Tamandua tetradactyla: one gene and its partners. The protein of the gene in region 3 interacts with the protein of the main gene of each other region in a pairwise test. Links are inferred from orthologs where the notes say so. Each region holds a gene or a part of one and is shown on either strand. Other genes may lie near its edges.

What was found.
Region 1: the proteins of FATE1 (region 3) and CCDC70 interact in binary tests that used the Homo sapiens proteins (3 or more experiments, as listed by UniProt). The two-hybrid records come from large-scale screens. The link is inferred for Tamandua tetradactyla from reciprocal best matches to the Homo sapiens genes FATE1 and CCDC70.
Region 2: the proteins of FATE1 (region 3) and BIK interact in binary tests that used the Homo sapiens proteins (3 or more experiments, as listed by UniProt). The two-hybrid records come from large-scale screens. The link is inferred for Tamandua tetradactyla from reciprocal best matches to the Homo sapiens genes FATE1 and BIK.

What each region holds. Positions count from the first base shown.
Region 1 is NC_135330.1:105,214,366-105,222,106, reverse strand, and holds the start of CCDC70 (coiled-coil domain-containing protein 70), read right to left. Parts: upstream 3,016-7,741; 5' UTR 2,749-3,015; intron 2,738-2,748; exon of another isoform or gene 2,595-2,737; intron 2,564-2,594; exon of another isoform or gene 2,402-2,563; intron 1,501-2,401; exon of another isoform or gene 1,497-1,500; 5' UTR 1,424-1,496; exon of another isoform or gene 1,404-1,423; intron 1,280-1,403; exon of another isoform or gene 951-1,279; intron 425-950; 5' UTR 258-424; intron 1-257.
Region 2 is NC_135333.1:36,798,486-36,805,940, reverse strand, and holds the start of BIK (bcl-2-interacting killer), read right to left. Parts: upstream 3,016-7,455; coding exon 2,947-3,015; intron 2,670-2,946; coding exon 2,518-2,669; intron 1-2,517.
Region 3 is NC_135353.1:3,542,179-3,549,447, reverse strand, and holds the start of FATE1 (fetal and adult testis-expressed transcript protein), read right to left. Parts: upstream 3,016-7,269; 5' UTR 2,910-3,015; coding exon 2,804-2,909; intron 1,709-2,803; coding exon 1,578-1,708; intron 1-1,577. UniProt on the Homo sapiens protein: Involved in the regulation of endoplasmic reticulum (ER)-mitochondria coupling. Negatively regulates the ER-mitochondria distance and Ca(2+) transfer from ER to mitochondria possibly implicating it in the regulation of apoptosis.

The DNA.
Region 1 (7,741 bases), on a different chromosome or scaffold from region 3:
TGAATTTTGGAACTTTGATTTTCCATGTTTATTAGGGTTATTTTATCCCTACTATTAATATCTTGAGGTCAGAAAAAGTGCCTCATTCTTCTATGAATTCCCTACATTATTTTCTTTCTGCCCTGAGTTCACAGAGCAGGCCCTCCACAATCATTCGTTGAACTGGATGGGACGACTGTTTGTGAGCAAAGCCAAGATAGCAGTGGACAACAACCAGCTTTCTAATTACGATATCAATAATAACAGTTACAACCTACCCATTCATTCAGCACTTTGATGCTAGACACTTCACCTGCACCATCTGCTTCATCTTTCAACAACAGTGTGAGACAGGCACCTTGAGTAATGCTGTTTTGTAACTGAGAAAACCAGGCTTAAATAAATAAATATCTTGTCCAAATCATTAAGTCTGTGAGTCAAGATTCTGCAAGAAGCCAAAGGTCGTTTTATAAAGACATCACATGATTAAGCAATGCTGCTTGTAAACACCATCAAGTTGATATTTTCGTTAGGAAGGGGGTGTGACTGTGTGTGTGTGTTTGTGAGTGCGAGTGTATGTGTAAGAGAGAGACTTCACATCAAGCCTGGGACCAACTGATAACAGCAACATGGAACAAGTTGGTCATTAATGTTGAATGAAAGATAATCTCTCCTCATAACACTATGGCTGAAGGAAATATACGAACATGTGAATTAAAACATATTGAATGTTATCACTAAAGACAATAACAGCTTAAATTTTTCAACAAACAACAAATACAGTTCACAATAGTCCCTTTTCATTTGTGAGAGCCATCTGTCTCTAGTTTACAAAGGAAATGTTTGGGCAGGCTTCTGACTTCTCAAGTGTTTCCTGGACATATCCCAACACCAAAAGCAGTCACCCCTCCAACTTATGCTAAAGTTTTATTTTTTTACTCTATGAACAGTGTTTGCACTAACTAAAGAGCTCACTGATAAAGCAGTTTAATTAACTTCTCCCTTTTTTTGGCCACAGATTTCAACTATAGCTGATGTAGTTACTCTACGGCTTTCTTAGAACTTCTCACACTTTCTGCAGGCCTATCACAAGCCTTTGCTATTAGCTTTCCTTTTAGGGCTGCTTTCCATGAAGAAACAGAGGATGTAACCCAATGAGGAGAAGATGAACCTCAAAGCTGAGCTGAGAAGTACATTCTGGGAGGCTGGCTCAGTTTGCTAAGAAATTCACTTTCTTAGCCTCATAACTCTTGTCATTCAAAGTGGCATCTCCTCACCAACACCACAGATGTTAGAGTCACTTGAGAATAGAAAAAAAAAAAAAAAAAGACAAATTAGCTCAGTGAGTGCCAAGAGTTCACTTAACTAGATTTGTTTCCCTCTGAATCTAAGTCCCTGCCTGAGCAGCAGCAGGAGAGACCTACTATGGCATTTGGTGTCTTACGGTTTCTTTGACGTCTTCAAGGCTCCCGTCAAGTCTTCACGGACTCTCCCTCATTCTCAGAGGTTGTTGCCTTCTATCTATGGAGAAAAAAGAAACTTGTAGAATGAAATTCCTCAATTTTCAGCTCACTCTCTTAGCAAGGTAAGTTCTCTTCCTGTGACTTTGTCCTATCTCCTCACGGCTCCCTTGTTTTCACTCAGTAAGTTTCTGACCTCTCTCTTACTCTCTGTCTCTCTTGCTTTCTTTCTCTTTCTGCTCATTCTTGTCTGTCAGCACATAAACTTTGCTCAAGTCTCATCATAAAAACAGACACCCAATCAACCAACAAACAAAAACCAGAGTCCTCTAATTCCCTCTATTTGCTAACACTCTCTTAAAAGAATAGGTGACAAGCACTATCACTATGTCTGCATTGCCATTTTGCACCGTCATCTTACAGTGGTCTATCTTTTGCCTCCTAACTTCTCAGAAACTGTACCAATTAAGATCATCTTGGCAGCACTCGATGCTAATCCTTTCTAAAATTTTCTTCCCCCCCCTTGACTCCTTTGATATCAGGCTATCCTGTTCTCCTCTTACTTTCCAGATAGTTCTTTCTTAGTCTGTTTATGGATTCCTTTTCCCAATGGAGTACACCTTGTCCTACCTCATAGCACTCTTGCAAGGAACAAATTGGGTATATTGAGTGCACATAAAAAGTGGTCAATAAATGTAGAAAATGTGAATAATTATAATTACTATTATGATGCTGTTTTTATTTTCTTAGGGTGACATGCAAGAGCTATCATGATCTGCCCCTGAAAGCCATTCTAGAACTCTCAGATACTCTGGCCATCTGAAAATTCCTCAACTATGCTTACCTTCTTTACCTTTGCCATGCTGTTCTGCCTCCCTGGATAGTCTGCCTAACCCCACTTCACTTCACCCAGCTAATCTTTCAAGACCCAAATAAGGAGTCAGATCTCTGGGAAACCTCACCTGTCACTCCTTTGTCTTGCTCAGACTGAGTTTATGCCCCTCCTGACCCACCAGGAACACTTTTCACCCCTCTCCACATCCAGCATCTAATACAATGTCTGACATAGAGCTGTTTAGTAAATGGCAGAATGAAGGCCAGTCCCCTGGGTTCAAGATACTAGAAAAATTCAACTCCAAGTTATGATCAAATTACCTCTGAGCAGAAGATGATATAAGGGCATGAAACAAAGAAACATGCCTAATCATCATTCTACTTAAAGATTAAGAAATAATTTCTAAGGGAAATGCTATATATGAACCTATGCTTAAAGCCAACACTATCAAATGAGAAGGCAATGGTTACTTACAGCTTAGCTGTTTCCCAACTGGGCAAGTCCTATCACCCTCAAAGGGCAGGTGGTCATTGTCATGTCAGATCCTTAGTGACGTCATTGTCACATCTCACCCAACACTGCTTGCAAGCACTGCTTGCTCTCTCAGTCCTGGTTCACAAGGCAAAAAGACCCAAGATGAGACTCTGAATAAGAGACTTTAGCTAGAGGTTAGAGAACCTACAAGGTTTGAAAGACTATGCCCTCTTCCACTTTCACTTCATCAGAAGGCCAGTACTGTTGATGACTCACAAATGATTGTTACTTCACATTCTGCCTGATTGTTTCCAGGGACAGCCTTCCGGAAAATCATGTTTCGCTAGGGGACTCTGACAGTAGCAGTTGCCTTATAAAAAAAAAATTACCCTGTTTTTCAGATAAAAAAAAGAAACTCTGGAGAGGAAAACTGGGAGAAAGGCCAGGCAGGAGAGAAGCTCTCTGCATACCCACTTCAAGACATCCTTCGAATCTTATTAGAAATTACCTAGGCTCACCAACTTAACAACTCAACTGAAAACATAGTTACTGAAATTCTATGTGATTAGTACAGAATTAAGCAAATGATAGCCTTACAGCATCCCCTATTCTGCCTTCCTATACCACAGATTAGATTTATTAGTTTTAAATCTTTATGAAAATGGAATCACACTGAATATATGTCTTGTATCTGGCTTTTTTGTCCACTAGTATATTTATGAGATCTATTCTTGTGTGAAGCAGTAGTTCATTTCCATTGATGTTTATAAATTCCACTGTCTCAGATAGTACAATTTATTCATTCTATTATTGATGGACAATTGGGTTGTTTTGATATTTGGCTATTATGAATAAAGCTTCCATGAGCATTTGTGTAAATACTTGGGTACACCTATGTTCACATTTCTGGTGGGTATTTATCCAGGAGTAGAATTGAAGAGTATGCATTTCACTTCAGTAAATACTGACAATTTCCAAAACAGTGTACCAATTTCCATTCCTACTAACCGTGTACACGGTTTAGTTGCTCCACATCGTTGACAAAACTTGGTATTGCCACTTTTTAAAGGCGGATCCATCAGTCTGGGTCTAATCAGGGGAGAAACTATGCAGTAATCTGGACAGAGAAAGTTGAATACAAAGAATGATTATAACAGGGAAATGAAGTTATGAGAGATTGACCAGTAGGAGGTAAAGAGAACTCCAAAGAGTAAGGAAAGACCAGATATTAAGAGCAGATATTACCACTAGGTCTTTCTTCGCCTCTCCACCGCCCAGCTTACCAACGCCCAGCAGAGAAGACGCTGTGGACTGGGTGAAAATCCACCCTCCGGGGTGCTGGAGAAGTTGTGCATGGGGAGTTGTCTCACTAGAGGTATTCGGGGCTCTGCTCCCTGCGGGTCCTGTAGAAGCCAGGCCCAGAGAAGCTGAGCACACTGCGGAAGCCAGATGCACTGGAGCCAGGAAGCAAAACTCTTTCCTCCTGCAAAGTCTCCCCAGCATCCTCTACTGACCAAGAGTCAGTGCCCGCTGACAAGGAAAAAAATTAAAAGTCCAGACACATTTCCATAGAGCAACAAAAAGGGTAAAGTCAAAACCATGGTAACACAGTGTATATGCAATCATACCTCGTCAGGATTTTAATTGGCAATTCCCTGACTAATACTTGTTCAAGGTACTTTCCCATTTTAGTATTGGGCCTTCTGTTTTGTATGTTTTTGTTTTGTTTTTTACTTGTAATAGTCCTTTTCATGTTTTGAATAGAATCTGTGTTTTGGTTGCCTAGCTGCTGAAACAAATGCCACGCCATGGGTTGGAATTTATTGACTGATGGTTTCAGAGGCTAGGAGGCTTGCTTCCCCCTGAGGTTGGTGCCTTCTGACTGGCCTGCCACCTTTGGGGTTCCTTGGCTTTTCCATCACGGGCAGCACACATGACCGCATCTTCTCCTTTCTCCTCCGGGTTCTGTTGACTTCCAGCTTCTGGCTGCTCCCCATGGCTTTGTTCTCTCTGTGCCTGAATTTCATTCTACTTATAAATGACTCTGGTAGTATGGATTAAAGGTCAACCTAATTCAGTTAGGCCACATCTTAACTGAAATAACAGCTTCAAGAGATCCTACTTATCAAGGGTCAACACCCACAGGGCCAAGGGTTGAGACTTGATCATGTCTTTTGTGGAGGACACAAATTCAATCCCCAACCATTGGTAGTTATGTGTTGCAAATACCTTTCCACATGTAGCTTTCATTTTTCACTCTCTTAATGATAAATTTTTATGAACAAAAACTCCTAATTTTAATGTAGTCCAAATTTAAGAGTGTATAGTCTATGTTGTATTTTTTTCATATGTTCCAGTAATGTCCTCTTGAGCCTTTTCTCCACCTTTGTTAGATCCTGACCAGTATACTGCATTGAATTGTCTCTTTAGTTGCTCCTTTTTTCTAATTGTGAAAACATATACAACATAAATCTTTCCATCCCAACCACTCCCATGCATACCAAGCAGTGGGAAAAATCACCTTTACAATGTTGCAGTACACTCACCATCATTCCTTACTAGAACTTTCTTTTTACCCCAAACAGAAGTCTTACACCCATTAGGCTTTAATTCCTCCATTTGTCCTGCTCTCCTGCCCCTAGTAACCCATGCTCTACTTTTTGTCTCCATGAATGTGCATATTCTCTGATATTTTCTTTGTGGTAACTATGGGGCTTAAATTTAACAGCCTAAAGCTATACTGACCTCAGTTGGTTTGATACCAATGTAACTTCAATAGCAAACACAAACCATATTCCTATACCCCTGTGTCCTCCCACTTGTAAGCAGTTTTTGTCACAAATTACATATTTATACAATATGAGTTCAAAACCATTGACTTATCATTATATTCTATGCATTTGCCTTTTAGATACTGTAGGAAGTAAAAATGGAGTGACAAACCAAAAGTACAGTCGTGCTGGCATTTATATTTATCCATGACATTACCTTTAGTGGAGCTCTTTACTCCTGCACATGATTTTGATCTGTGTCTAGCATTCTTTCCTTTCAACCTGCAAACTCCATTCACTCTTTTTCTTAGGCTGGTCTAGTGGTGATGAACTCCACAGCTTTTGCTTATCTGGGAATGTCTTCATCTCTACCTCATTTTTGAAAGAGTTTTGCCAGATATAGAATTCTTGGTTGACAATTTTTTGTTTTTAGCATTTTAAGTATGTTATACCACTGCCTTCTTGCCTCCATGGTTTCTTCAGCATTTAATCTTATTGAGGTCCCCTTGTATGTGACATGTTTCTTCCCTCTTGCGGCTTTCAGAATTCTCTCTTTTCTTTGCTATTCAACAATTTGATTATAATATGTCACAGTATGGGTCTATTTGAATTTATCCCTTTTGGAGTTCAGTGAGTAACTTGGATGTATATATTCATATCTTTCATTAAATTTGGAAAGTTTTCAGCCATTATTTATTTGAATTCTCTCTGCCTTTTTCTCTTTTTCTTCTGGGATCCCACAATGCATAAACTGGAATGCTTGCTGGTGTCCCACAGGCTCCTCAGACTCTCTTCGATTTTCTTTATTCTTTTTTCTTTCTCCTTCTCTGATTGAATGATTTAAATTGCCTTGTCTTCAAGTTCACCAATTCTTTCTTATATCAGCTCAAATCTGTTTAGTCCTTCTTTTTGTTTTTGTTATATGGTCTTTAATTCTCTTTGCTTCCTTTCATAATTTTTATCTTTTATTTATATTCTTTTTGTGTTCAACTACCATTTTCTTAATGTCTTTAATTCTATGTCCAATATTTATCTTTATCTTTGAGCATATTTAAGAACCATTTTTTAAAAAGTCTTTGTCTACAATGTCCCAGGTCTGGTTTTCCTTGTTAATGGTTTCTAATGTTATAATCTTCTTTTTGGGGGGTGGGCCATAACTTCCTGTTTCTTTGTATGTTTTGTAATCTTTTGTTGAAATCTGGAAATTTTTATATTTTGATGGGTTATTGCTGGAATTTATCATTCTGAGGCATTTTCCTTAAACTTTTTTTTTAACATGGGCAGGCACTGGGAATCGAACCCGGGTCCTCGGGCTTGGCAGGCAAGCATTCTTACCTGCTGAGCCACCGTGGCCCGCCCATTCTTTAAACTTTTATCCAGGTAGTGTTATTCCTTGACTGCCAGGCGCTAACTGAAAAAAAAAAAAAAGAGAGAAGGAAAAAAGGAAACACATTCCCAGTCTTTGAAGACTGTCCTGTGCGTGTTGTGAGAGCTTTCCTTCAGAGTTTAGCCACACAATGATATCAGAGAATAGTTCAAGCCAAAAACATAAGGTCTTCCCTGGTCCTTTCTGCCCATGTGTCTTGTCTTGGGCATGCTCACATAGCCCTAGGAAATACCCCATTTACATAGATATGAATTCCTCTCTTCCTAGGACACTGCAGTTTCTTACGGTACGGGGTACTGCTCTGTTGTTCCACAACCAGCAGTCCTTAGCCCAGTCAGTCAGCAGAGAGCAGACTTGACTGCTCTCCCACAGCATCGTATGAGCTGCCTCTGCATGCAAAACAAGTTCTTTTGTGATGAGCCTCTAATGAGTGTACTGATTTAGTCCTTAAGCTTCTACTAACTAGACTAGGGATGGACAGACATGCTCCCAGTATGGGCATGAAGGTTACTTTTTTCCCTCTCCAACCAAGACCAGGGACCAGCACTGGATGTGTGGGCCAACTCCATACTGAGATGGTGAAAGTTTGGAGGAGGGGACAACAAGGGCCTCACAAAAAGGTTTTCATACTATTTTCCAGTTGCCTTTTTCTTTATTATAACCTCACCCCATTACAAAAAGTTGCAATCCTTTTAAATGTTTCCTGGACCTTTGAGAAGGATGTTTCTGTCAGGTCTTATTGGTTGTTCAAATCTTCGATGAGGAAATAGAACTCTGGAATATCTCATTCCACCAATTTGAGTGGGGTGGGACCTCAGTTCCTTATATTTCTTAC
Region 2 (7,455 bases), on a different chromosome or scaffold from region 3:
CCCAGTTGCCACCTTCCATTTATTTTCCAGAAAGTTGATCAGAAGGGGAAAAATGGACCTGTTCGCAGTGGTCTCTGGTTTCTTCTCTGTGGCTTAGTGATTTCAGATGTCATTTTTCTGCTGTTATATGTACTAAGCACCTAAAACTCACAATAATTAACGTGTAGGCAGCCCTTCCATCTGTTACCCAAGTGCCCAGGCACCAGGATATGGCAGTGAACATGACATTCAAGGCTTCTCTTCTCACAGAAGTGAAGGCTAGGGGGGCCACTCTGTACACATTAACGCAGAAGATAACTTCCCACTTTCTACTGTGTTTTGAAGACAAAGCAAGGTCACAGACCAAGGGAGTGGTGGTAGGGAGGGAGGGGTGTTCAGGGAAGACTTCTCAGAGGAAGCGGCAACTGGGCCAAGAAGGCAAAGACAAAACGTATGAGGGGCCGAGCACCCAATGGGACTAAATGTTTCACCCGGGTGATCCCGAGGCCTCGCAATATCCCATGGAAGTTCACCCTGCATCCCCAGTGCTTGGAGATGGTCAGCAGCATTTATCAACTTCCCCATCACCCTCCTTCTTCCCCTAAAGCGACTAGAAGCTATCTTAGAAAGTTGATTAAATAATTTCGCAGCCCTGGAAAAGGACATTTTTGAGGTACTGGCCGAAAACCCACACCCTGGCAGCCAGTTTCCCCTGATATTTAATAACCATTATATAAACGAAAAGCTAGAAAAGTAAAGGAAAATGGTGCAACCAAGCTTGTGGGAAAGCCGCAGCTAAATCAGTCCCTAAAGGCTCCTGTGACCTTAAGGTTCAGAAGATAGTGGGAAATCCCCAAATCCAGGAGTGAGAAGCGAGGGGGAGGAGTGGAGAACAGACGAGGCAAGGCGGGAGGGCAGCGAGATAAGGAAGGTCAGGCAGGCTACTGAGCCTCCAGGCACCCAGGTACGCACAGCTGCCCGGGAGCAGAAGGACTCATTGCCACCTTTGCCTCTGGGAGAGGACCTGGCTCCTGCCTGTGATCACCTGTGCCCATCCATTCAGGGAACCACCACCAGACGGTATCAAGAAACACCAAAATTGTACCACTTGAGAAGTTATTCTGAGGCTCTGCCCAAAGAGGTGAAAAACTCCAAGTAGAAAAAAGGTTAAGTATCATTAACTCTAGGGTGCTGCTAACAGCTAGCTGCCCTTGGGCTGGCATGGCTTCTCCATACCTGGCCAGACTCCTCCGGGGTTCCTTTAGAGAATGCAGTAATCTCTATTTTACAGAAGGAGGAAACTGAGGCTCAAAGAGGTGAAGTAGCCTGTGGAAGTCCACATAGCTGGAAAGCCGCTGAGTGGAGAGCAGAGTCTTGGCTTCAAGAAAACAGCTCTGGGTTTTGAGCTCTGCAGCTTGGGTATTTGTTTATATCCCTTTCTGGGCGGTGGGAGGCTGGTCTCAGTTTCTCCGTCTGTAAAATGAAATCTCCTGTGTCGGGAGCGGCTAGCACATCTTCCTAGTATGGGCTGGATTTTCCCCTTCTCAACGTGGGAACTACAAGGCTGCTAACTGTCCCTTTCTCTGCGAACTGGGGCAAGGATTACAGGTGTGTGTGTGGGGGGGGGCACTTGATACAGGGCCGGTCACAGCAGGTGCTCAAAAAATGTTGCAAGTGCAGCGGCAACAACGTCCCGTGCCCCAGGGATGGATGGTCCGGGAGAATATCAGAGTAGCAATTACCGGTTTCCAAAGCGGACGCGCATCCAGGAGGCCAAGGCGCCACCGCGAAAGTTGAACAAGCCGGGAGCCCGCCAGCGCTTATTAAAGCCGGGCCCGCAGGCTGCGCCGGGTCCCCTCCCGGGTGACCGAAGAACCGCGTCCCCGAGCCCATTCAAACGCTAAGCGCGCGGGCTGGCGGCTCCCTGTTTACAAAACAAGAGCCTGGCGCCCCGCCTCGGGGTCGAGCCGCGGCTCCGCCCGCTGTGCGCACCTGTGCAGGGGCGTGGGCAGGTGCGGGTCAGCGGCGGCGCCCGGCTCCGCTCACCAGTTCCTGTTCCGGGCTTTCCCGGCGCTCTAAGATAAAGCCTTTCTCCGACCCCTCCGCAGGTGCGCGGAGGCTCCCGGCGCTCGGGTCCCGGTGGGGACAGGTGCCCGACGCCATCTTCCCTTTTTTTAGGGGAACCTGGGGCTCTGACGTCCCGGCTCTGGGCCTGGGGTCCGGCACCGCACTCTTGCCCGCCCAACCCATCCCCCGACGGCCCCCAATAGATCGAGATCGAGATGGAGCCCAGAGCCGGGAGGCCGCGCAGGAGGGCGGCGCCGGGCAAGGGGGCCACCACCCCATTGCTCAGATGCGGAGATTGAGGCCCGCAGGGGGCCGCAACTGGAATCATCCGGGGCGATCGCAGAGCCGAGGTCTCCGAGTCTCCGCTCCGCACATACCACATCCTACACTTTCCCTGGGGACGAAAACCTGGGCCACGGGTCCTCAGCCTTCCACCCGCTCGGACCCCCCGGCGACCCCCAGGGCGTTTACCTGCCCGGCTCGGGCTGGGCGGAGGGTCGGACAGCAGCGAGGTAGAGGACGCGGGCGGGGCGCGTTTGGATCGCAGTCACCCCCGCGGCGGTGGCTACAGTGCCGGCGGCGTCTGGCGGTGGCGTGACCCGGGAGGTGTATTGTCTGAGGCTCTGCGGACGGCCCGGGACAGGATAGGCCGGCCGGGCCCCGCCCACGCCCCGCCCAAGCCCCTCTCTTCAGGGGGGTTCGCGCCCGCGGCCCAGCCTCCATCCCGCCCGCTCTGGCCCCGACGCCGTCGGCCCCGCCCTTTCCCCCTCCCACCTGGAATTCGAGGCCCCGCCCGCCCTGCGACCCCGCCCCCAGGGCGGCCTCCTTCGCCCCACCTCCCGGAGGCCAAGACTGAGACCGCAAATGGTAACAGAACTGCTACAAGTGTAATCTGCGTACTTGTTTATTGTCTCTGTGGCTCCGCAAATCTGCAAGCTTGTTTTTGTCCTTTCGCTGCCGACTGTGCATGCAGTAGCCCAGGCGGAATATTTGGGGATGGAGCTACTGGCCAAATCTGCGCCACTGTATACAACCTTCATTCCGTTCAAAAAAGTCCTAAGGGGTCGGTGCTTTTTCCGGTGCCCATTTTACCGATGAGAAAACTGAGGCTCAGAGAGGACAAAATGACTTGCTGAGTGGCAGTGTGAAGTCAGTGCTCAGATATCCGTACTCTTTACACTGGTAGCTTCGGGAATTAGGTATTTGTAAGCAAATTTCGCAAATGTAGAAAATAGGGCAGCTTCCCCCCACCCCCATCACTGCTTCCATCCCGGCTTGGTGCAGCCTTTGGCCTGCACACACCTGTTCCCGGTACCCCCCAAGCCTTGCAAAGCTGGGGCATCCTGACCTGCCCTGGGGCTCCTTGTTGCAAGAAAATGGAGGGTGGACAAGCAGTGGAGGCTAGAGCGAGGTGGTGCCCAGAGCTCCTGTGGAAGCAGGAGGAATGGAAGGAGCCCTGAGTGGGGGGAGGGAGCAGAAACCCCCAGGCCAGGCCTAGGGGCTGTTTGGGGTGGAGGAAGGGAGAGGCTGAGCAGGGATAACAAAGTAACCTTTGTTTGGAGAACACAACAAGGCTTGTTTACCTCAGTCTGATCTGAGGGCATAGGGTGGGGCCCAGAGGGGGCTCCCTGGGCTGTTCTGCCATTTGCCACCTGTGGGGCCCTCAGGGTCACATCACCACTGGGGTGACCAGCCTCTCACTCAGTGTCCTCATGTGCTAAAAGGGAAGACGGCACCGACCCCTGGAGCTGTTAGGGTCAGAGGGGAAAGTTAGCGAAGCTTTGAAGAACTCAGAGCCCAAATGTCTTTGTAAATGCATGTCCCTGTCTTAATGAGGTCCCCAGGTCTCATAAAGCCTAAGCCCCACAAAGCCGCTGTCCCCAGGGTCTGGCCGGCCACAGGGTGCCTTACAGGCAGGAGTGAGGAGCCAGCAAAATACTCAGGGAAAGTGAAACAGAAGCGGTGACACAGGGTGTTACAGGCCAAAAGACCCGAGGTGGGTAGAAATGCCCCCTGAGGGCCCTCGGGTGAAGCAAGGGCACTGCAGAGGGCACAGAGTGGGCACTCAATCAATGTTAGCAGAGCAAACAGAGGAAGGAGGTCAGTCTGGGGATAGATGGGGGATAGAAGGGCTGGGAGGAGTGGGTTAAAAAAATTTGCCTTGCAAGTTCCCTTGGTAATATGCTGATTAAATGGAGGAAGAGGCAAAATCCTTTTGAATAAGAATTGGTCCTTTAGTCCAAAAAAGGCCCTGGGTTAGATGGCAAATGGTATTAACAGTTCAAGGATAAGGTGACTTGTCCCACCTGTTTGGCCCCCACACCTAGGGCTAAGCACTCCCTAATAAGGAGCTCCTGTACTCTTGCAGCCAACCACCCCCATGTGACAGGACGGACCACACCCCTTCCATATGACAAGCTGGAGCACTCACAGGGTGCGTGAACAGGCACGGGACAACTTGTGACCTGTTTTACAGATGGGGAAACTGAGGCTTAGCAGAGGGAGGACAGCAGCAGAGGTGGGTGCAAGTCCCGGGGATCCTGCACTCAGGCCCGTGGTGCAGTCCCTTCCTTACCTGAGTGGCAGTCCAGGGGAGCTGCCTCTGGGGCCTCTGAACCTTCCTAGCGACCCCCACCCCCCCACCCCCCCTCCACCCCCCCACCCAAGCCCCTCCTGCTGCGACCATGACCGCTTTTGTCTGTTATTCAAGGATCTACTGCCCACAGACCCTTGGGCACCACTTCAGGTTGTCATTGATATGCATTTATTTGCTTATTCATTTAACAAATTGAGTGAAACTTGGCACGTGCCAGGCAGGATGGTCGGTGATGGGGTCCAGAGATGACACATCCTAGTGCAGGAGATAGAGGATAAACCTGGTGACGGGAAAATAGTGTCCAGCAGTCACAGGCACAGCACCAGCGCAGGAGCGTGGAGCAGGGGAGGGGTGGAGGGTGGAGGACAGGGGTGGGCCTTTTAGCCAGGGTGGCCAGAGGAGGCTCTGAGCGAGGCGAACTTCGTGCACAGAGGGAAGTGAGGAGAGGAGCCTTCCAGAGACCTGAGGGTGATGCCCATGGCTGGAGAGGGGAAGGAAGGGACAGAGCTGGCAGCGTGTGCAGGGTGGACAAGAAAATGACCACCTGCTTGCCAAGTGCTGGCCTCGGTGTCCAGAGCCCCACCTGGAGAGCCAGAAGCTGGTGTGGGTTTGAAATGGCCCTGTCTGGCCACTCGTCATCCCAGACTTTTATGCCCAGCCTTGAGGTGACACCTTATCTGGAAAATCCCTGAGCTCTGCGGGCTCTGCGGAAGCCTGTGTAATATCAGGAGGGTCGGCTCCTCAAAGGGCTTCTCTGTTCTTTCCCAAGCTGGGCCTGAGTTTAGTGCCAGGAGGCAGAGCAGCCTGGCAGGCCCCCTCCTCACCCGTGCATTTCACCTGCGCCCTTCCCAGGAGCACCTCGCAGGGAGCACAGTGGGCCGGGCACATTGCCTGGGTGGTTTCATGTACCTCCTTCTGCTTGTATGAAAAATCCAGCATAGGCAAATCCATAGGGACAGAGTCTCCCCACTAGAGACCAGCCTTGGAGAGGGGTTCTAACCGGCACCAGGGCACACAGCCAAGAGGTTGGAACCCTTTGTCCCATCCACCTTTGAAGACTGTAGCTGGACTTCTGAAAGTCTGTGACACCCCACTCCCCGCTGCCACACCCAGAGTAAAGCAAACTTGTGTTTGATTATGAGTCTTCTCTGGGAAGACGACTTGCAGCCAGCCTGGTGGGTGAGATCTGAGATGTACCAAGTTCGAATCCTGCCTCTACCACCTGTATAGTGGTAAATGCACCTAACATACAATTTACCATTTTAAAGTGTAAAATTCAGTGCCATTTAATGCGTTCACAATGTTGTGCAAATGTAACCACTATCTAGTTCCAGAACATTTTCCACTCCAAAAGGAGCCCCACACCATTAAGCAGCCACTCCCCACTCTGCCCCCCCACCTCAGCCCCTGGCAACCTCTAATTTGCTTTGTATCTCTATGGATTTGCCTGTGCTGGACCTTTCATACAAGTGGAATCAGACAATATGTGGCCTTTTGTGTCAGGTACTTTCACTTAGCATAATGATTTCCAGGTTCAACCATCTCGTAGCATGTGTCAGAACTTCATTCCTTTTTATGGCTGAATGGTAAAGAGTTTTAACATGTCCACAAAAGGTACTGTATCTTGGAGATGTGTGATCTATTAGATAAAATAGTGTGTTTTACAAATTAGTGTGTCCACTATAAATCCCATACTTTTAAAAACATTTTTTATTATAAACTATAACATATACAAAGCAAAGAAAGAAAAAAGCAGTAATTTTCAAAGCACACCTCAGCAAGTAGTTACAGAACAGGTCCCAGAATTTGTCATGGGCTACCATTCCTCCAGATTTTTTCCTTCTAGATGCTCCTAAACGCTGGAGGCTAGACGGGATATTAATATAGTGATTCAGCAGTCATACTTGTTTTCCAAATCCTATTCTCTCTGCTATGCCTCCTCCATTCCCCCGGATCCTTCTCCTAATCCATAGGGATCCCTGGGCAATGCCCTTTCTGGCTTTTTTTTTTTTTTTTTTTTTTTTTTATTTAGAGAGAGGGAGGAAAGGAAGGAAAGACAGAGAAGGAAGGAAGGGAGGAAGAAAGGGAAACATTTTTAAACATTTTCTTGTTTTATTATATTTTGTTTGTTTGTTTGTTTTTTACATGGGCTGGGGCCGGGAATCGAACCGGGGTCCTCCGGCACGGCAGGCAAGCACTCTTGCCCGCTGAGCCACCGCGGCCCGCCCCCTTTCTGGCTTTTTCATGTTGTGAAGGGGTGTCAACACTAAAGGATAGGGGGAGGTAATTAATTGATAATCTTGGAGAGGCTGGTCCCTCTGGGTTTCAGGAATAAATCCCACATTTCTAAAAGTCCCTGTATAAGAAAGTTCTGGTAGGAAACACAACAAAGCAAAGTGGTCCTGTCTGGGCAGTAGGATTGCAGGTGGTCAAATTTTCTGCATTGTATTTTTCTGTGTTTTCCAGGTTTTCTATATAAGCATATTAATTTGGTAATCGGGAAAAGGTTTTTTTTTCTTTTAAGAAGAGGAAGAAAACTATGTTTGATCTGGTAGCAGGCTGGAGCTGAGCCAGAGACAAAGGCAAATGCTTAGTTTCAAGTTAGAGACAAAGCCAGGACAGAAATACATAAATTCCAGACAGAAAGTGATCAGGGCCTCAGGAGAGAGAAGGCCTAGAGCCAGGCTCAACGAGAGGATGCACACGCATCAGGGTGGTTCTCGTGGAGGAGGAGGTGTTTGATGGGAATCTCGAGAAACTGACTGAATTTCAAATGATTGCTGTGGAGGGAAGAGTGTTTCAGGTTGGGGAAC
Region 3 (7,269 bases):
GAGTGGACAGTGGCAGGTTTTGTTTGTTTGCTTTAGGATAACATAGTTTGTTGCCAGCACTTCAAGATAGTAAGAATTAATTTAACAACAACAGCTCCAAGCTGATACTACCTTTTATTGTGATCACCTGGAATAAGATAAGTCTAAATGTTTGTTAACAGTTATTTGCTTTTTTGCCTTTTTATTTTTAAAACTCTGTTTGAAATTTTATACATTGTAAAATGTAAGGCTTTTATATTAATTTGATTGAGAATAGGAAATTCTATGAACTGCAATATGTCCAAATTTCCCGCTGTCAATTGTTTCAAAAAAGTGCTTTTTAAGGCTCACTATTTATTTGGCCCTTGCATGCTGCAGTTGTCTCAGAGGCACTGGCAGTTCCATTAATAGTTCTGTTTTATAATAAATCAAATTAATAAATCAAATAATAGTCTTAATTTTTAAATTCAATATAATGTCTGTGGGTTTTAAGGACACTTCTCTAGTTCTAATAGCTAAATTTAATTAATCGAGTGGTTATATCCTCCTGCGGTCTCAAGGGCAGGGGTGGCTTCCTGGAGTCCGATCTGCTGGAAGAACTTGATTTGGTTCCAGCCTTTGGACATAGGAAGTAAATCCAGTATTTCTGGTTTATATGCATTCCCAGCAGTCTCTGACCTGGGGGCTCTTTCTCTCTTTTTGCGTTCGGGGATGGGATCATTTAAGCATTTATTGTAACCTAACCCCTAGAAAAGTCAGGTCTCCCTCCTCCCCAACCTCAATGTCTTCTCCCAGTATTCTTTGCCACTATAAAATAGTCATTTTTCCTAGAACATTCCGTCACCCACATTAATGTAACTTAAAATACTGGCTACAGAACATAGGACTCACATGGTTCCCAGGACAGTGTGTTCATCCTCTAACCTGGCTATCTTTTCCCAGTAGGTTTTGCTGCAGTATAGCACAATTTTTCTGAAACATTTCCCCATCCACATTGAACAAAGCTTAAAGGATTGGCTACAGACAAAAGACAGTACTCACGTGATTCCCTAGAACAGTCACGTCTCAGTCCTCTTCTAAAATGGTTGCCCTTTCCCAGTATCCTTTGCAACAGTGTAACTGCCATTTTTTTCTAGAACATTCCTTCACTCACTTTCAGTGTAGCTAAAGGATTGGCTACAGAATAGTTACTCACGTGATTGGATTTCGTAACAGCCAGGAAGCCTAGAAGCCTCACTCACCTCGGCTTACAACTTACCCCCACCCCACATACATTTGTTTTGTTTTTGTTTTTAATCAAGGAAAGTGTCGTTTCACACACAGTACAGCTTTTACAGAATAGCATTTATATGTACTCTCCAAGCAATGAGTGCTTCAGACATTTTGAACTTCTAGGGTTGGATTCCCTGCCTGCCAAAGGACAGTTCTAAATCTTTCAAGGGTTCCCCTGCCCTCAGGTTCCTGCCTGGCACAAAGGAGCTTCTGCTGACCCCCAAGTCAACATCTGGACCTGCTGTACCTACCATGCTCAGACTGGAGACCTATAGCCAAAATTCCCATCCTTAACCCAGCCACCAAGTATCAAGTACCCCACATACAACCATTTTCTTGGGGCGGATGTCAGTCATATTCCAAACTGGTGGGGCTAGAACACAGCTGACAGTCTTGAGTTCCAAATTCTGTCGCCGCTGGTAGACTCCTAGGGACCAATATCCCTGCTCTGTCATTTCTAGAAGAAGAAGAGAGGTCCCAAGATAGAGGTTGTACCAAGGTTTTCTAGGTATAGGAACACCATAAAGAAGACAGCCCCACAAATTTCTTAGCAATCCACAGTACCCACTCACCCTTGCCCATTAGGCAGTCCCAGGCCTCAGTCTGTTCATCTGTTCAACAAGTCACCAAACATTTACTGAAGGCCAACCTCTGTACTAGGTACTGGGGAGAGAGCGATGACCACGAGATAAGGCCCCAGCAATCAAAAAACCCAACCAGCTATGTGTGTACTAAGCAGAGTGAAAGTGCAAAACAAAAATAACCAACCAGGCAATTTCACATAGAGAGATACACACTCCCAGAACAATAAAGGCAGGGTAACATGCAGTGAAGAAGGGGCTACTTGTAGAAAAGTAAGAAACAACATTGAAGCAGAGACCTTAAAGGGAAAAAGAACCTGGACATGGAAAACCTCCACTGAAGCTGTCCCCTCAGAGCACGTCCTGCCTCCCTTAACCCCTAGTTCTCAGGCAGGCACATGGCCTTTCTCTAACCTGGCTCAGCATTGCAAGAACATTCCCAGCAGAAGCAACAGCAAGTACAAAGGCTGCAAGAAAGGAACAAGCTTGAGGTGTTACAAGAAAATATAAATGCCCTGTGGAGTGGGGCCCTTCGTGTGCTATACACATTGTATGTTGCATGCATGCTGTGACAGGGAGAAGGTTGAAGGGACAACACTGATAGGGCCATGGAGACCATGGCACAGAGTTTGGAGTTTATGGTAAAGTCCAAGGGGAAGAACTGGGAGGGTTTGCAGAGAGAATCAGTCTGACTGATTTGATTAATTGACTTGAATATTTTGCAACAGACACAGTGAGAACTTGGACCAGAGGAGACAGAGGGTCCATGTCCACTGTTGTTTCTGCCCTCCACCCACATGGGATGCTCAGAAGCTCCGAGATAAGGGGAAAGCTGCAAATGCTTGTACACCAAGGCACAGACACATGCTCGTGCCCACACACACATACAGACATACACATACAGGTGCAGATGTGTGTCCACACAGCTGGCCATCTCACCCAAGGATGAGAGCATTTCAGGGGATCCTCACCTGCTGTTGTCAGGCACTCCTGACTTTGCCCTTGGCCTTGAGGGCTCACCTCCTTGGCCAAAGGCATTTCCATCTCCTCCTTGGTGTTAGTGGGCTCTCCTGCCATCAAAGCCACTTGTTCACTTGTAGGCTGTGGCCAGAGCTGCGCAGGGTGCGTGTCAGAAAGGAGGCACTTAGAAAACCACTCTTTGAGGGGTAGGAGCTCCAGGCAGATATATCTGGGCGGGCAGAAGGGTGGAGCCAAGAGACTCCCTCTCCACACTCAGGCCTTGGGCCCAGCACCTTCTGTTCTTGTTCTATCTTATTGACTGGGTCTGTGGCCTTCTCCCCTGCTACTCTGTAAGCAACTTAGGAGAAGAGATAACGCTCAAAACTTTGCCTGTGAGAACTGTTTGGGCTCAGGGGTCACCTGATCTGGCCCCATCTTGGGGCAGGTGGGGTCCACCCTCTATCATTTCTAGGGAGAGGCAAGGACTGGCATAGGGTCCCATAAATGGTGGCTGGCCAAAGCAGGGTTAGTCCCAAGCCTCTTGTGGCTTCTGTGAGGCCAGCTCTAGCTAAAGAGTCCAGGCTGCCCCCCAGCCCACCTCCACTGAAGCTGTCCTCCCAGAGCACGTGCTGCCTCCCTTAACCCCTAGTTCTCAGGCAGGCACATGGCCTTTCTCTAACCTGGCTCAGCATTGCAAGAACCATGAGAAAACTTCCTTCCAGCAAGCTCCCGGGACCACTCTAGAGAATAGCCACAGAGTCTCTAGGGAAGCTGTTGATGAAAAGAACTAAGCACAGCTGGGGCCAGGTGGGCGGAAGAGGAGGGAGGGGAGGAAGGAGGGAGGACGGGGGAAGGGAGAGGCTAGAGCTCACTTAGAGACCATTACATGATCTGGGGCTGGTTATACTTGTCCCTTGCCCCACGTGTCCAGCGCTGGGACTCAGCCCCCACCCAGCTGAACTGACGGGGACCCTGCCTCCATTCCTGGGGGCTCTCCAGGAGCCTTGCCCAACCCCATGCCAGCAGCTGCCATGAAACCCGAGCTTCCCGGAGGGCTTCCTTCTCTGCCACCCCAAAATCAAGCAGAGGCTGCAGAGAGCTGCTCAGTGGGTCCTGGGACACTAGGCAGCCATGGGTTTCTGACCTACCATGGTTGCCAGATTTCACCAAGAAAAATCCAGGATGCCAAGTTAAATTTGCATTTCAGATAAACAAAATTTTAGAAGCAGCATGCCCCATACATTATTTGGGAACTATTTATACTAAACAAAAAAAATTTGTTTATCTGAGGTTCAAATGTAACTGCATAGCTTGTATTTTATCTGGCTGCCTTAGGCCCTGCCCACCCTCAGCACAACCTCAAGATTTGACCTTGGGCAAATGTTTCACTTCTTTGGGCCTCAGTGCCCCCAGTGGGCAACGGGGTTAGAGGGCTGCCTGGTTGCGAGGGGCACTCTGAGTCAGCAGATGCTGGGCAGTACAGGCACTGGCTTGCTGCAGGGCCCTGAGCCACTGACCGAAGATCCTTCTGGCTGCCAACTGAGCTTCTAGGGAACAGGGAACCTGGGTCCAGATGCTCGCAGAGGCACTGCCCCCTGGTGGCAGGGGCACCCATCACTTAAGGCCAAAAACCTTGAGAAACCTATGGACCAGACTGGCCCAGACAGGACCAACTGGCAGGGACAAGAGCTGTCAGTTCCAGGGTCTGAGCTTGGTGAGGCCAGGATGGCTCAGCTCCCCTCTGCAGAGTGCCAAATTTAGACCCACAGAGGGCTGGAACAGGAAGGGCCCTTTGGGTAATGGCCCAACAGACAGGGATGCCAAATGCAGAGAGCACTACTCAGTCAGGTCTGCCGTGCAGGCACTGGCCAGACCAGGGCAGAGGCCCTGACCCCACTCCTCATGTTCCAGCCCACCCATCCCACATGGCATCATCTCTTTGATTCCCAGGTGTCCAAAGGCCTCATCACGGGCCCATGGGCAGCAAGGAGAGCAATTTCCAATCTTTGGCCTCCCCCAGAGGAGGTGGCAGGGAGTGCTTTCTAACTCTTCTGCTGCATTTTCTCAGAGTAAAAAGTCCCCTGGAGAACAGCTTCAGCTCCTCCCAAAGGCACACACACACACACACATACACACACACACCTTTTCTAGCCCACCAAGCTCCTCAGGAAATCGGCTTCACCCCTTGAAAATACCCGCTGCCTAAGGTTGCCAGAGTTAGCAAGTAAAAAATACAGGACAAGTTAAAGTTGATTTTTGTGTGAAAAAACAAATCATGTTTTAATGTAGGTATACCCCAAATTGAACTACTGCCCTGTATTTAATCTGGCAACCTTGGAGAGAAAGCAAGGACTATGTGACCCTGAGAAAGGAATTTAACCTCTGTGGGTCTCAGTTCTCATCACCCAAAAACCAGGGCAGGAGTACAGACATAGCCTGGCCCATAGAAGTTATTCCACAACCACTAAAATCCTCCTTATTTTAAAACAAATGAAGCAGAAGTCCTCAGAGGTAAAGTGACCCCTCTAGAGTCACGGGGTCTTTCTGCTCTCTTGCCCAAGCTCAGACCCTGGGAGTGCCCTCCAGGCACTAGGCAGCAGACGAAGACTTCCTTCTGTCGCCTTCCCTAATATCACTCTTGGCTCTCTTGGGGGTCCCCACAGCCAGTAAAATTACAAAGTAGATTGGAGGTGTTAGTCCCATAGTAATTTCTATCAGCCCCCTCCAACCATTCCAAATAAATGCACTACTCAGAGGAAAATGCTTTGCCCTGCTATGCAAAGTGCTTTAAGGAGCATTCCCAATCCCCCTTCCAACCAGATGGCTGCCTCTACGCTCTCCCCTCCTCTGGAGAAATGTCAGCAGTAATCAAGCCCCTCTAGGGACTCTGCTCCAGTTCACGTCCAGCAGACTTGTCTCCTCTCAGCCAAAAGCAGAGGGCAGCTGGCGCACTTCCCAGGGACACAGGCTTTCCCTTTTGAAGCAAAGAGTTGGGGAGACTTCATTCCCAACCATGGGCATCTCACCATCTCCACAGGCCTGCCTCACTTAGATTGACCACCAAGGATGGCTGGAAGGAAGAGAGAGAACTTGTCCCTTAACGTTTCTCTCAGACATGCCAATCTTTTCCCTCCAACATCACCAGTTCCTTCTGAAATTTCCCTAAACTCTCATCCAAAACATTTTGAAATTCCTCCACTCTCTGGTGTGGTAACTATGGGGCCCTGTGCAAGTGATGAGCCACAGAGACTGAAGACCCCAACGGAAGGTTCCAGAAGAGGTGCACAGGGGCCTGGTGCCTCGGGAGTCTCCCCATGTCTGAACAGATGTACAGACATTTCTCAGAGATATTTCAGATTCAGTTCCAGATCACTGCAATAAAGCAAGTCCCATGAGTAGTTTGGTTTCCCAGAGCATATAAAAGTTATGTTTACACTACACTGGAGCCTATTAAGCATGCAACAGCATTATGTCTAAAAGAACAATGTCCAGACCTTAATTCAAAAAGATTTCATTGCTAAAAAATTGCTGCCCATCATCTCAGCCTTCACCAAGTCATAATCTTTTGCTGCTGGAGAGTCTTGCCTCGATGTTGATGGCTGCTGATTGATTAGGGTGGTGGTTGCTGAAGGTTGGGGTGGCTGCAGCACTTTCTTAAAATAAGACAAAAATGAAATTTGCCACATCGATTGACTTTTCCTTTCACACAAGACTTCTCTGTAGCATACAATGCCATTTGATAGCATTTTGCTCACAGTAGAACTTCTTTCAAAACTGGAGTCAATCCTCTCAAACCCTCCCACTGCTTTGTCAACTAAGTTGATGTAATATTCTAAATCCTTTGCTGTCATTTCAATAATGTTCACAGCATCTTCACCAGGTGTAGATTCCATCTCAAGAAACCATTTTCTTTACTCATCCATGAGAAACCACTCTTCATCTACAAAAGTTTTATGATGAGGTTGCAGCAATTCAGTCACATCTTCAGGCTCCACTTCTAATTCTAGTTCTCGTGCTATTTCCACATCTGCAGTTACTTCCTCCACTGAAGTCTTGAGTCCCTCAAAGTCCTTCATGAAAGTTGGAATCCACTCTTTCCAAACTCATGTGAATGTTGATGCTTTGACCTCCACCCACGAATTACAAATGTTCTTAATGGCATCTAGAATGGTGAATCCATTCCAGAAGGTTTTCAATGCACTTTGCCCAGGTCCATCAGAGAAATCATTACCTAAGGCAGCCACAGCCCTGCAAAATGTATTTCTTAAATAATAATCCTTGAAACTTGAAATAACTCCCTGAGCTATGGGCTGCAGAACTGATGTTATGTTAGCAAGCATGAAAACAGCACTCATCTTGTTGTCCATCTCCATGAGAGCTCTTGGGTGACCAGGTGCATTGTCAATGAGCAGTCATATTTTGAAAGGATTCTTTTTTTTCTGAGCAGTGGGTCTCAACCGTTGGTTGAAAATACTCA